Linked DNA regions of Lonchura striata. The protein of the gene in region 1 interacts with the protein of each later gene in a biochemical or structural test. Links are inferred from orthologs where the notes say so. Each region holds a gene or a part of one and is shown in the gene's direction. Other genes may lie near its edges.

Evidence for each region.
Region 2: the proteins of CEBPA (region 1) and TRIB1 form a complex in vitro, tested with the Homo sapiens proteins (2 studies listed by BioGRID and IntAct, with this or other methods). The link is inferred for Lonchura striata from reciprocal best matches to the Homo sapiens genes CEBPA and TRIB1.

Annotation. Positions count from the first base shown.
Region 1 is NC_134615.1:5,207,697-5,214,478, forward strand, and holds CEBPA (CCAAT/enhancer-binding protein alpha), read left to right. Parts: upstream 1-4,021; 5' UTR 4,022-4,331; coding exon 4,332-5,309; 3' UTR 5,310-6,179; downstream 6,180-6,782. UniProt on the Homo sapiens protein: Transcription factor that coordinates proliferation arrest and the differentiation of myeloid progenitors, adipocytes, hepatocytes, and cells of the lung and the placenta.
Region 2 is NC_134603.1:11,725,267-11,733,226, reverse strand, and holds the start of TRIB1 (tribbles homolog 1), read left to right. Parts: upstream 1-4,940; 5' UTR 4,941-5,056; coding exon 5,057-5,362; intron 5,363-5,760; coding exon 5,761-6,053; intron 6,054-7,960. UniProt on the Homo sapiens protein: Adapter protein involved in protein degradation by interacting with COP1 ubiquitin ligase. The COP1-binding motif is masked by autoinhibitory interactions with the protein kinase domain.

The DNA of each region.
Region 1 (6,782 bases):
TCATTAACCATGCAAAGATTGTGAATGGATAAAAAATACTTCACAGACTGATTGGTGCAAGGTTACAGGTGACAAGCTGGAAACAGATTGGGCTGTGAGGATCATTTGAATGGAAGTGAGCAATTATCAGGTAAATGGAAATGAGAAATGCCCTCAGTCACCTAGCTTGGAAATTGCAAAGGACTGAGCTCTCAGTAGAAGAGCCAGGAGTCAGTAGAGCAGAAGGATACCAAGAATTGTTAGACACCCTGAAAACAAGGGGAATGGTACAAAAAAAAAAAAAAAAAGAAGAGGAAAATAACATGGATTAGAGTTGGTTCACCTTGGAGTTGTGTTTCTCCAAAGGAGAAAAGCTGTAATGATAAAGTCATTAAATCATCTGTTGTTGGACCAAAATGCACATTAAAAAATGATAAGCAGTCCCCAGCTGCCTTTCCCAGCTGAAGGGAAGGTTCTGGTTGACTTGTCAGACACTGCTGCATTCTGATCTACGGGCCTCCAAGGCTTTGGCATATAAAGTCTTTTCCTTTGAAAATTGTCATGTGTGGCAGCTTTTATGTGCAGTATCATGTGTCTCCTCCCTGGGGCAGAAAACACAACAGGGGAGGGGAGAAGTTTGTGTTTCAGTGTATCACAACAAGTAAGATGGTAGATTGCCAGCTCTTTATTTGCGTAGGAAACCACTGCTGCTCCATCCCTGCTACTCCCCAGGTGCACTCAGGAAGAAGCAGTGAGGATAATACCTCTTGTCCCTCCCACGACAGCTGTCCCATCCTTTCTGCTCCACATTGCCCACCCTGGTCTTCTTTCCTCCCACCAGTCCTGCAGGTGGGAGAGAGCAGAGGCTGGGCTGTTGCTGCCATTCACCCCAAGAAGTTTTGCATGCAAACTCCTGCCTGGAGCTTTGTCAGTAGCAATGAAATATTCTGGTTTAACAAGGTAGTAAAATAAATGTGCAGTTGCACTGCAGTTCCTAACAGGGCTGCCACATGCTATGCTGTGCACAAGCTGCCAGGCTGTTGGATCAGCAGGCAGAGCTCCATCCTGCAGCCAGTAACTCATCCTGGAGCCCACGGGACTGAAAGGCCTGAGAACAACACAGGAGCAGAGTTCAGGTGAAAAAATAAAGAGACTTCAGTGTTTCAGTGCAATTAAAACCTCTTAATCGTCACAAATGCACTTAGTCACGTTCCTTCCCAGTGATGTTGGTCTGATGTTTCCTTCCCTGAGCACAAAGGCGTGCAGCTGACTCGGCACAGGTGACTCTCGCTGCTGGTTTGAGTTGTGGAGCACTTTACTCGCCCTCCCTGAGCTTCTGGACAGCAAGATCTGCTTTGGGATGGAAGAATAGCACCCTCAAGAGTTGACAGCGCTGCTTCAGGGAGCCATGGTATGCAACATGCATCCTTCCTCTCCTAGTTAAATCAGCTCCCTGTTTGTATAACTTAAGCAACAAGTTTTCTCTTTAATATTTGAAGTATTCAGTATCAATCACTGTTGATATGAATGGGGAAATAAGCATTTCTGCTTGTTTGAGGGTGAGACAGTTTTAAATATTTTATTTGTCTTCAAACAGGGAGTAAAAATAAAAAGACAAAGATATGTCTTTTTGGTAAGTCTGGGAACATTATTTTGTACTATATTAAAATAATTTGAACTGGAATTTAGGATTCCAAGTAAAAATAGAAAACTTTAAAAGTTCTTAACTTAGATAAAAGGGGTCTATGTAAAAAAAAACCCCAAAACTGAGCAAACCAGTCCTTAAATTGTGGGGACTTGTTAGTTAATTACAGTAATTAGGAATGGAATCTGATCCTAAACGTTCTGATTTACTTTAATTTTTTTTAACATGTAGTTAGGCCTTAATTTCAGAATGATTATAAAATGTGAGAGTGTTTTAAGGACTTGAGAGGTGTAGGTATTGTTATTAAATCACAAGCTTAGTGATACAATTCTGCTTACACTTTCTTAGTTATCTTTCTGCTGTTTCGTGCAGCAGTGACTTTTTGTTTTAAATGTTCATGGCCTATTCCTGTTTCTGCCGACTTCAGTCAGACAAGGCCTCTTGAAAACTCTAAGAATAAACTACTTACCAGCTTTTATTCCAGATGATATCTTTCCCAGCAGGCAAAATGTCCAGCTATGTGTTCATCCCATTTCAGGAAATGGGTTCACTTGAGTAGAAAAAGCTGAATTTGGACAGTCAGGGACATTTTACTCTCTACTCTGAAACACCCAAGACTCACTCCTGTCACAGACTTGAGGCTTTTCCTCTGATCCAGGATTTTGTTCAGAGTTCTTATGAGTGTTTTTGTTGTTTAGACAGTGCTGCAGCTCCTTGTGGAAGCAGCCCTGTGAGGCACTGCTACTGCATTGAAACCAAGACATATAATTTTAGAAAATACTGACTGCATATAAAACAATTTAGGATTAGGTTTTTTTCAATTGATAGTGAAAAGTATACTCTGTGATCTGTAAATTAATGTTTCCCTGCTGTAATTACAGAATCCAGTCTCCTGAGAGGACCTTGGAGTGTGCCAACTGACTCTGCTGGCCTAGCATTTGCTCATGAAACAAAAGTTCACACCTGCATTGTGTGGAAAAAAAAAAAAAAAAAGGCGTTTTGGTGCATTGTCATTTTTGTTTCCCGTTGAATCCTTTGAATTTTTAATTGCAAGAAATCTGTCAAACCCTTTCTGAGGAATTTACTGTCACAAGTTTCTCTTTCACGGAAACACTCCGAACTAAGAATTGCATCTTTTTTTCTCCAGCCATCACTATGTTTGATTCCTTTTCCCTGAAGATCTTTCTGTAGCATCCTTAAGCCCGCACCTGCTCCAGGTGGGCTTGGCTTGTCCTTTCAAAGGGACCCTCAGAACCAGGAGAGCTGAATGCCCGTGGGACTGCCCAAGGTGCACCCGGGTGCAGTACAAGTAGGGACAGACACATCTATTCGCGTACTGCGAGTGATGGCAGCAAGAGGAGTGCTGTGCATCCTCACCCCGCCCGAACTGAAGCTTGAGACGGAGGCTCCTGAGGAGACTCTGACCTATACCCAGGAGGCACAGGGAAGCGGTGGCTGGGACTCGCAGCTCCTCTCCAGCCCCGCATTGCGGGAACATTGATGCCCCCCGGAGAAGGGGTCTGGGCAGGCCGCCGGGCCGGGCACACGCCGCAGCGCACAGGGACAGCCGGCCACGGCCGCGCTGCGCCCGCGTTAGCCCGGGTCAAGGCCGGGAGGCGGCCCGTGCCCGGCACTGCTCGAGATCGCTGAGCGTGCGGTTGGCGAAATCCGGCATTAAATTTACCTGCTCGATTCGAGCGGGGAATGATGCGGACCGCGGATGACCCGACTCAGGCTGTTCCGCGCTGGCGGGGCAGCTCCTCCGGGCTTGGGACCGGCGGTAGCGGCCGGATACCCAGGGCGGCCCGGCCGATCGCCTCCGGAGCCGGGAGCCGCCGCGGCCACCGAGCTCTCCGACCCTGCCCGCCGGGGCATCCCGAACAGGGCCGGACTCCGCGGGTCCCGCTGTGACCGGGCGAGCCCCGCGGGTCCCGGCGGAATGCGGCGCGGTCGGCCTCGGCCGGCTGCTCCGAGCCCGACGGCTCTGCTGGCAGGTAACCCCCGCCGGCGAGGCAGCGCCTTGGCTCCCAAACCCGACAGGCGAATATTCACGACTGGCCAAATATTTGCAAGTATGCGCGGATGGTGAACTTTGAGACTGTGTGCGAAGCGCGGCCGGGGAGCGCTGGGCCGAAGCTCCCGGCGCAGAGGCGGCAGCGGGCGGTGAAAGTGCACCGGCGCTTTTGGCCGCTCTGCCCGCCGAGCGCCCCGGCAGCGCGGCACAAAGTCCCCGCGCCGTCCCCCCGGGCCCCTGCTCAGCGCGGAGCTTCCTCGGCGGGAGCATCCAGCGCTCAGCGCCCGCCGAGCCCGGCGCGGCGGCGGGACAGGGGAAGGGGGGCCGAGGAGAGCGGGGCGCTCTCCCCGCGGGGCGGCGGCGCCCGGGGGCGGGCGGGAGGCCGGCAGTGCCCGGCCGGGGCGCTGGGAGCCGGCTGCGCGGCGGTCAAAGGTTCCCAGCAGGAGGTTGGACACTAGAGGGCGATCCCCGGCCCTGCTGCCGGCTGTATATATACGGCACGCAGCACCGCGGCAGCCCACTAGCAACAGGGCAGGCAGCGAGCGGAGCGGGGCTGGGCCGGGGGACGGGCTCCGGGAGCACCGAGCCGTGCCGTGCAGCACCGTGCCGCGAGATTGCTAGAGCCGCCGCCGTCCCGTTCGAAACCTGGATTGCAGGAGCCCTTCACCATGCCCGGCAGACTGTAGTTGCTTCATGGAGCAAGCCAATTTCTACGAGGTCGATTCCCGGCCCCCGATGAGCAGCGGCCAGCACCACCAGCTCCAGACTCACCTGCCCGGCAGCACCTACAGCTACAGAGAGGCTCCCTCGGCGGCGGCACCTGCTGCGGGCGGCGCGGAGCTCGGCGATATCTGCGAGAACGAGAACTCCATCGACATCAGCGCTTACATCGACCCCGCCGCCTTCAACGACGAGTTCCTGGCCGACCTCTTCCAGCACAGCAAGCAGCAGGAGAAAGCCAAGGCCATCCTGGCCGGGGATTTCGACTTCCACACCATGCATGGGGCCGGCGCCGCCGCCTCGGCGCCGGGGCACCAGCCGCAGCACCACCAGCAGCCGCTCTTCGGCTGCGTGCCCGGCTACATGGACGGCAAGCTCGACCCCCTCTACGAGCGCATCGCCGCGCCGGGCTTGCGGCCGCTGGTGATCAAGCAGGAGCCCCGCGAGGAGGAGGAGGTGAAGTCGGCGGCCCTGTCGGCCCTCTATCCCCATCACGCCCCGCAGCAGCACCCGTCCCACCTCCAGTACCAGATCGCCCACTGCGCCCAGACCACCATGCACCTCCAGCCCGGGCAGCCCACGCCTCCCCCCACGCCCGTGCCCAGCCCGCACCACCCGCACCACCCGCACCCTCCCGGCGGCCTGTCCGCCGCGGGCACCCTCAAGATGATGCCCTCGGACCACCGGAGCAAATCGAAAAAGACAGTGGACAAGAACAGTAACGAGTACCGGGTGCGCCGGGAGCGCAACAACATCGCGGTGCGCAAGAGCCGGGACAAGGCCAAGCAGCGCAACGTGGAGACGCAGCAGAAGGTGCTGGAGCTCACCACCGACAACGAGCGGCTGCGCAAGCGGGTGGAGCAGCTCACCCGGGAGCTGGAGACTCTGCGGGGCATCTTCAGGCAGCTGCCCGAGAGCTCGCTGGTGAAGGCCATGGGCAGCTGCGCCTAGCGCCGCGCCGGGACCGGCCGGGCTGCCCTGCCCGCGCACAGATACTCTGTACCGGCGTGCGGCGAGCGCGGTGTGCCGGCGGGAGGGGAGTGGGGCGTTGTTTTGGTTTGGTTTTGTTTTGTTTGTTTTTTATCAATTCACGACCTATACAAGAAGCCAGGCAGCTCAAGTATTAAAAGGTTGGTGCCTTAGAGATGACACACGAGTAAGCTGAAAACATGGTGGGTTTTCTAAGGAGAAAGGCAAGGGGACGAAAGAATTAAAAGACCATGCGTCTACACAGGGTAAATAACAGTAATAATAATAATAATAATAACAATAATAACGAAAACAGTAATAAAGCACATATAGCAACCCAGATGTGCCTTAAAAGCTGGCTGCAGGGGCTCTGGGGCTTACTATGCCCTCCAGCCTTGCAGGGTGCAAGAAGAAGGAATGAGGGATGTGCAGGCTTGAGGGTTGTGGTGTCTGGGGTGTTCTGCCAGACCCCTTCCAGCTGGCCTGCAGTGCAACAAGCAGGAGCAGCTCTGGGGAAGTCAGTGATGAGGATTTGAGGCTGAAGGATGTGCAGCCCTGGATGCCCGTTAGGAGCACTGAGGTGTGGGGCAGCCACCAGACTGCTGCCAGGACTGTCACAGCCTGGCTGGGCTGCCTCTGCCGAGCCCTGTTCCCTGCCTTGGCTGGGAGGGGGACAAGGGGCAGAACCCCTGCAGGACCGATGGACAGCCTGGGACTGATGGAGCAGCATCCTGCAAGAGTATGGTGAGCTCTCTCCATGCAAAGAAAGAGCAGCAGTGTCTTGTACTGTATGTCACGACGTGGCGAAGCACAAATGAATAAATACCTATTGATGCGGGTATTTACTATGAACTTTCAGTGTATTTTGCTTTATTCCAGGACATTTAGCTCTTCTTCAAGTCTCTGTCTGCCCAAACTGTGCCTCATGTAATGTGAAAGCCGTTCCATGTACACTAGCTATACTTTATTGCCTTACTTAGATCTTTGCCATCACCCAATTTTCTTACCTGGTGACAGAGACTATGCCCTTGTGCTGCAACGTTATTTTATTATTTGTATGGGTGGATGAGTGTGAGTGTGTGTTGCCTTCTTCACAGTGTCCTGTACTGGTTGCTGCCTCCCAACCCCAAGGCAGGAGTGCCTGGAACGGGGCATGGGCTGTGAGGCTGTACAATGCCTGTGGTGGGGCAAGGAGGCTTGTCCCTGGTGCTGCTGCACCTTTGGACTCTGGAGCTTCTCCAGAGTGAGAGAAAAATAAACAAACAAACAGGCCCCCTGGGCATTCTGGTAGCCATGCAGAACATTTCTTCCTTGTATTGTAGCTGCATAACAATTTGTCCAACTGAAGTAAGTCTTGACAAGAGAGGAGAACAAGGTGGATGGAGCTGTTTGAAAGCATGACGGTGAGAGCACAGTGCTGGCAGCATGTGTATGTGTGTGCAGTGTGTGTATGGT
Region 2 (7,960 bases), on another chromosome or scaffold:
AAAAACATTAGATTGATTGTTAAGCAAGTAAAACTCTGGAATGGGTGTACATCATCCAGTAGATACCCATGTCTGTGCTTAGCCTCTTGATGCATGAATAATCACTGTGACTTGACAGGACTGCAGCAGCGTGCAGAAAACACAGTGTGTTTCATCATTTCAAAGCACTGCAGAAAAGGCTGTGGTGGGCTGAGAAGAGAGCCTGCCTCTCTTGCTTGTTCTGATGTTAGTCCAGACCCAAAGACAGAGCCTGAAAGCACGCACATGAATTGAATTGCACGGGAAGCTTACCAAAGGAAGTGTTTGCTTGTAAACTCAGTATGAATAGGATCTTCTCTGACCGCAAGGGAAACGGAGACACTCATTCACTGTCCGCTTGTGCAATCAACTTCTGAAGTCAAAACAGGATTTGAGGTCTAAAACCTGAACCTTCACACGTCTTTCAGGCAACAGAAGAAGCCTTCATGCTCTTCAGTTAGCAGAGGAACAAAGTCAGGAGGTGCTGCTCATAAGACTCCTTGGATTTGATAACAACAGGCTTATCAAAAGGGAATCATTGAGAGTTCTGAGCTGCAGCAGCCCTCAGAGCAGCTTTGTGTGGGCTTGAGGGGAGACATCTGAACACCATTACATTGCACTCCTTTTGATGTCACTACGTGCTTGTCATGTGTTTTATATCTCAGTGGTTAATCTGCTGCCAAGTTCCACAGTGTCTGAGGATGGCTGTGGGTTATCACAGATGCTGTTCTGCTATAAAAAACATTACTTTTACTTCTTTATCACCTGGCCATACGACTACTCTTTGAGCCCCATCTGTGCAGGGTAATTCTGTACACCATTAGATTATAGATGACATGCTGTTTTTAAATTATTGGCTTTCAATCTAGCAGTAGTTAATTTTCATTATATGGCTTCAGATAACTTTTAAAATAAAGGTATTGATTTTTCATCCTTTACCAATAGTTTAATGTTAGCCAAAATATTTGTGTTCCTTGCCTCTCTCATCCATTAACTAAAATAAAGACCTTTTCATTCTTTTTTTCTGTAGCAAGCAGCCAATTTATTTATAAGTGCCCTAATCTAATAGAGATTTATTCTGTGTGTCCCATGAGACATACTATCAAAGTTACCAGACCTGTCCCAAGCACTTGGGAAGTGGGGAGATGGTTACACAATTCTCATTGCCTCTGGCTGCTCTAGTTATAGAGATAAAGGGTCAGAGAACTGGAGCAACAGTGATAATTTTGGGAGCATGTAAGGAAAAGCAGCTGCTCAGGTGAGTGTAAGCACTGGCTGAGGGCAAGGCAGGTAGATGCTTGAAAACCACATAACAAAAATTCCCTTAAATAAAATAACAGGAATGGGAGGATCAATGCCTGAGCACCAGGAATTCTGGATTCTTCAGTCTTCATCTCACAGATGCACTAAGCTGCTTGTCTGTTTCAAAAAAGAGAGAAAATATATGAAGAGCTATATTCACCTTGCCACAGTTCTGGCAAATCTCTTCTGGGTAAGACCCTTCCCTCTGCTAGGACGTGCCCATTCTGTGATACACATCCCACAGGCTCTTTTTTCTGCTGCAGTCCCAGATCCTTGCATAGCAGCTGGGACTCCAGGAAGCGAGGATACAGCAAGCAGTCCTGCTTGCTTTGACTGGCCTTTTCCAAGGCAGGATCTAATTTTTGTAAAGATTTTGCAATGTTCTTTGACTGAGAGCTCCTCAGACTTTGGTAGTATTGGGAAAGGTGCCTGTTGCACACTGTTGTCCTTTGCCAAGCATGAAGACTACTGAACTGTACTTCTGAAGGTCATCCCTGCCCACCTCACAGGTACCAAGTCCCTTTGGAACACCAGGGCTGAGTGATGGTTCCTTGTATTCTGCTGGCTCACAGCAGTTTATTTTTTCTGGCACTTGGATAGCAGGACTCATCCACAGAGTCAATGTTTTATCCCAGCATTAGGACTGTAATTGTGCACTGATCTGTGCTCCACAATGATTTTCAGTGCTGTCCACTGGAGATGTGTAACATGGCTCTGGTTCATTTTGAAGGGCTGTAAAGCCATTCAGGCTCAAATTCACCACAGGCACAACTGGGAATTACCATGACAGTGCTCATCACACTAAGCAAGTAGAGCCTGAAAAGTCTTTTTGGGGGAACGAGGAGATGGAATGATGAAGGCTTGTGCAGGGAATAGAAGGAATACCCCAAAGATAGCTTTTGATTTCAGGAGGAGACTAATGCAGGAGATAAGTCTGCATGATTAAAAGCCAGTGGTGTGATGGCAACAAACACAAGGCTGCTATGTCAAGTGTGGTAGCTCCATTTTCTGCAAAAATCTTACAATACTGAAATGTTGCAACAGTTTTTCACAAATCTCTTCCTGGAATTGCTCCTGTTCTCAGCACTGGTTCCTAACCACACCAAGGCTGCATGCAAGCACTGGCAGAGATGGGCAAGGAGGACAAGTTTCAGTTCAGCCCTTTGAGAAAGAGCATCCCATGCAGGTCATCAGACAACATCCTTGGCATTCTTTTTTTTTTTTTTTTTTTTTCATTTTGGCCAAAATTAGAAAAACCAGAAAAGCCAAAGTGGGAATCACTTCTCTGCTCTGTATCTTGAATTGGTGGGGATGGAGGAGAGTCTGGATGTGGACTTTTTCCTATGTTCTGTACCCAAAACATAAGACTAACTTGAGTAATATTTGCTACTATATGTTTAGCCATGGCATTAAGGCTTTGAGTACCTGACATCATGCCAGGCACTATAAAGAAGCAACAAAGGTTTCCTTCTGTCAAGAACTTCACCTGTTTTCCAAAGACCTGGGAGATTTAAGCTTTGGTTTCTCTTAGTCACATGTAGACAGTCAACTGTAGTTTAGTCTATACAGTCAACTAGAAGAGGGCACCCACCAGTGTTTCTGGGATGAATGTCCTAGGGGTTATATTTTCCTGGCCTTTGGGGACTGCACACCCAGTTTTAGGGCTCCAGTTAGCAGGGACACACATAGAGAGCATACCCTGTGAGAAAAGGCTGCCCAGGCACCAGGAGAATGTGGCAGGACTGTGAGGTACAATGCTGTGTGTACCTCTGCTCTCCTCACATGCCAGGTGTGTTGGGGGAGCCAGGATGACAAGAGGTGCTTTTTTGCCTTCCTCAGGACCAGTGGGTGCCATCCCCAGCTGGCTGCCAGTAGCTTGAACCAAGCACTGTGCTCAGGTGCCACTGTGTCCCCATGGGGTGGACTTAGAGGTTTTAAGTGGATGGGAGGCTGGGCAGATGAAGGACAGCAGCTTCCAGCAGTGTATGCAGCAGATCCTCGGTATGGCCCTTCTCCCCAGCAGGGACAATCAGCTGACACAGGAGATTTGGGAGAGGACACTGACACCTTCATTCCTGCTCACACTGCATCTCAGTTCGGAGGGAGCTACAGGGGACACTGATACACACTACGAATGCCCATGAGAACCTTTATGCAGGTCCATTGCTGTTTTGTCTGCACCCATTTGTTTTTGTCTGCACCCTTCCCCTGTCCCCAAAGGTACTGATAACCTTCCCCCCGCTGCACCTTGTGCTGTCTCAGATGTAGGAAGCAGCCCACACATGTGGCATCCTACCAGCTAAATTCACCCAGCAGCAGCATTCCAATCATTAAACTTCCAGGAAGGGAAAAGTAAAACAAAAGGTCTGATAGATACTTGCATGTGTTTTACCTATAAGAGGAACCAAATAAAATAGTGTGCTTTGAGAGTTGTGGTGAATCACTCAGAAACAATCTGCAGGCATTAATGGAATTTTATTTCTGGGGAAAAAAAAAGAAAGAAATGCAGGCCCTGGGATAGCCCTTTATGGCATATGCGTTTTATGTTTAAATGCATTAATGGGACTGCTATGCTATGAGTCATCCTGCACAAGAGTTTCATGTGTTTCTTAAAATACACTAGAAGTAGCTGAAGGCATGCATGGGTTTGCTGTGCAGTTATCTACCAGGAATCTGAGCAAATACCTGCACGCGTGGCATCACGGGCTTCAGAGCTGGGGGGCCCATCTTCAGCCCTCTCTGCCTCCTGTACAGATCTGGGTTGGGGAAACCAAACCAGAATAGGAGTTGATCCTACTGAGTAACAAAACACAGGGTCCCTGTGTTAATATGAAGCTTCAGCACTAAATTGCAGAAAATTTGCATATATAGAAACAGAAAACTGGAGAGTTTCCTTCTGAAGCATTTCTTGTCAAAACTACAGCTGTTTTTTTTTTTTTTTTCCCCAGGGATGATTTGTTGTCTGGTTTTGTCTCTTTTTTTTTTAAATTGTTTTTTTTTTATTTATTTTTTCCATTTACTACCAGTCTATTTACTACTGCTTTAAAGCCACACTACTGAGCCTTGTGGAGCTCCTCTCAGTCTGCTCCTCACAGGTCACTTCAGCTGCTGGCTGCTGCCTGGCTCTCCGAGCTATTCCTTTTTCGGACAGATAAAGTTTTAACATGGGAAACACCCAGTGCCAAGTATTTCTGATGGTGCACGTTACGTCTACGCTTATGAGTAAACGCTTATGCTCATACAACAGCGTTGTGATGCAAACCTTGGGGTGAGGGATGGTTATTTAGTGATTAGTGAAAAGTAAGAACTGGGGCTGGGAACCTGCAATTGTATGGGCGAGAAGATCCTGGAAAGGAAGGTGGCCTCGCTTTCTCGACACAAATATTTAAGGTCGAAGGCGGGGTGCCTGCCGCCCCGCAAGTCCCGCGGCGAGACCCCCGCCGGGTCCCCCGCCGCCCCGCCCGGTCCGCGGCAGGGCCGGGGCGCGGAGAGCGCCGGGCGGAGCGGAGCAGGCGTGTCCCAGCCTCCCTCCTCCCATTTCCCCGTGCGTCAGGCCGGGAGGAGGAGGAGAATCACCTTTTTTTTTTTTTTTATTTTTTTTTTAAAGCCTCCAACTACTTTAGCGCGGACTCGGCAGCAGATGGTGGACACAGCCCGAGGTTTCGGCGGGGAGAGCGAAGGGATGCGCCCAGCGCGCAGCGCCCGCCTGTAGCTCCGCAGCCGCTCCGCTCCCCCCATGAGCCGCCCCGCGTCCCTGCTGCCGGCCGCCCGCTGCCGCAGCGCCCCGGCCAAGCGCCTCCAGCCCCTGCACGACGGCCCCGCCGAGGAAGCGCCGGCCGCCAAGTGCCCTCGGCTCGCCGAGTGCGGCCCCCCGGACTGCCTGAGCGCTCCCGGGTCGCCGTGTGCCCCCGCTTCTCCCGCCGGCGGCGGCGGCGCGGCGGGTCCCAGCCTGATCGCCTCGTACCTGCTGCTGCCGCTGGCCGAGCGGGAGCAGGTGTCCAGGGCGCTGAGCGTCAGCTCGGGCCGGGAGCTGCGCTGCAAGGTGAGCGGGAGCTGCGCGGGTGGGAGCGGGTCCTGCCGGCGCGCCCGACCACCGGCCCGGGCGCAGCCCTGCCGAACATCCATCCTCCCGCTGCTCCCCGGCCGGAGCGCCCGGCCAGCCCCCGGCGGCGTTTGCACGCCCTGCGAGTGAGCTGGGACTCCGACTTACCTCGGGGCGCCTTCCCCCCAAAGGCTGTGGGAATGGTGGTTTGGTTTAGTTTCCCCCCACAGCCTTTCAATTTACAACGAACAGGAAGGGTCTCGGTAGCCGCTTCTGCCGGTCTTGCCGAGCCCTGGCTTCCCTCCAGCTCCCTCGTCATTGTTTGGGGAGAGTTGCTACGCGAGCTGCAGCTTTCAACGCCCTTGAGAATGAATTCGGGTTTAATTTCCTCTATACAGGTGTTCCCTCTCAAACACTACCAGGACAAGATCCGACCTTACATTCAGCTGCCGTCACACAGAAACATCACCGGGGTTGTCGAAGTCATTCTCGGGGACACCAAGGCCTATGTGTTCTTTGAAAAGGACTTTGGGGACATGCACTCCTATGTGAGGAGCTGCAAGAGGTTGAGGGAAGAGGAGGCTGCCCGGCTGTTCAAACAGATTGTCTCTGCTGTAGCTCACTGCCACCAGTCAGCCATCGTACTTGGTGACCTCAAGCTCAGGAAATTTGTCTTCTCTAATGAAGAAAGGTAAGTGGCTGTCAGCAGCCAGCCCTGGGGTGAGTGGGGAGGGAGGAATGCCACATCCAGAGACACAAAAAGCGTCCCAGGGAGTGGAAACAGCTCCGTCAGCCGGGCATCACCTGCGAGCAATCCGAGTAGGTCCTCATCACGTGTGTGTAGTAGGTCACGGATCTAAGCGGTGCGCACTCCCTTTTAGTTAGATCTTGACTGATGAAAGGGAGGAAGCTCGCCGGGAGCTTCCTCTCATTCAGCAGAAGTTCACTGAAACCCGCTGGCAGACAAAGGGATGATAGTTCAGATGCTCGTTAGCGCCAGAAGATGTCATGTGTGCCACTCATTCAGTATCAAATGAATAAAAGGCAGAGAGGGAGAGGGGGGAGGCTGAGGTGTTGTGCCGGGAGGAGGAAGCAGCCTGGCTGGGGGAGCAGGAGATGTGAGGAGCTGGAGCTCTGGTCTCTCCTCGGGAGAGTTGCCTTGTGACCCACGGTGGAGCCCCAGCACTTGGAAAGGGTCTCCTTGCTGAACCACTCTGCTGATGAGAGTGATGCTGCTGAACCCTTTGAGGCTTTTACCCCACTTCCACTGCTGTGCTTCCCATGCCCCCTGTGCCCGTGGATTGTGGGCACACACAGGAGGGAAGGTGGGATATGGTTAAATAATGCTCTGGGAATCCTGCATCAAAGAAAATCACTTTTGTAAAACTTAGCCTAAAGCCTAGGTTCATAGAGAAGATGATAGAATCATAAAATCTAGTTGTTAAATTTAGATTAGGGAAATATTCAGTATTCCCCTGGAGTGCTGTGCTCTTGCGGTGCTTCATCACACGTGGCAGAGTCAGAAATACAGCAAAGCTGATTATTGACTAGCTGCTTATCCCAAGCAATGTTAAAAAAACTAAGTAAAAGCTGTAATGGAGTTGTGCTTAATACAATAAAAATGTAAGGTGATATTACTGATGCAAAAGAAAAGGGATTTTGTTTGTTTTGTTAAACTGGGCTAATGATTCTTCAGGATATCTTTTTACGAATGTGATAAGAAAATTAACCAGCGCTGCCCCTCTGAAACAACCATATGTTGACACGTAAAGAAAGCTATTCCTTTGAAGGAAACTATTGCAGCTTTTCCCTCCCATAAGAAGATGAAACATTTGTTGAAATGTTACGTTGCACACAGTCTCGCTCATTTGGAAATAACGTGTTGCACAGGCGATGTCATGTGCATCACATTTGGCAAGAAGAGGGTTAAGCAATGGCAGGCGACGCGGGCTCCCGCACAGGTGCAGTTTCAGGGCTCCGCAGCCAATCCCGGGCCCACGGTTCTCGTTGAGTCATATTTTCCGTTTGCAGAACCAATGGGTATTTGCCGAGGTCAGGCTGAGGACAAGCTGAAGCCAACATATCTACACCCCAGCAGGCTGCCAGGCAGTGCAGAACCCTTCCAGGGCTGGCTGATGGCTTCCCTGCCAACAGGAGCTCCCCTTACCCTCCAAAATAGGAGGCTGGGGACCCATCTCTACCTGGAGATGGTGGGTGCAGTGATATGCTCCAAAAGGCAAAAACAATAAATTATGAACTAAAATGAAAAAAAAAAAAAAAGCTTCGGAAAGGCAATGATCCTCACCAGTGCAGAGGGGAGCTGGGGTTTGTGGTTTATGGAATCACACAGCTGGATGCTGTTTGCTCAAAGCCTGAACAGCACACAGTGGCTGTAAAGTGCCATGTCACCAATTAACCCCCTGCAGTGGCACTGCAACCTGCGTGGGTAGTGGTGACTTGGTGTTCCTCAAGAGTCCTCTGTGTTGTTTAAATCTCCAGTTAGTAAAAAAACATGAGCGTCACTGAATGCTGGCCCGGTGCACACAGCAGCCCTTCCATTACACATTCTCAGGCGTCTGGGCAGCTTCTCTGCTGCAA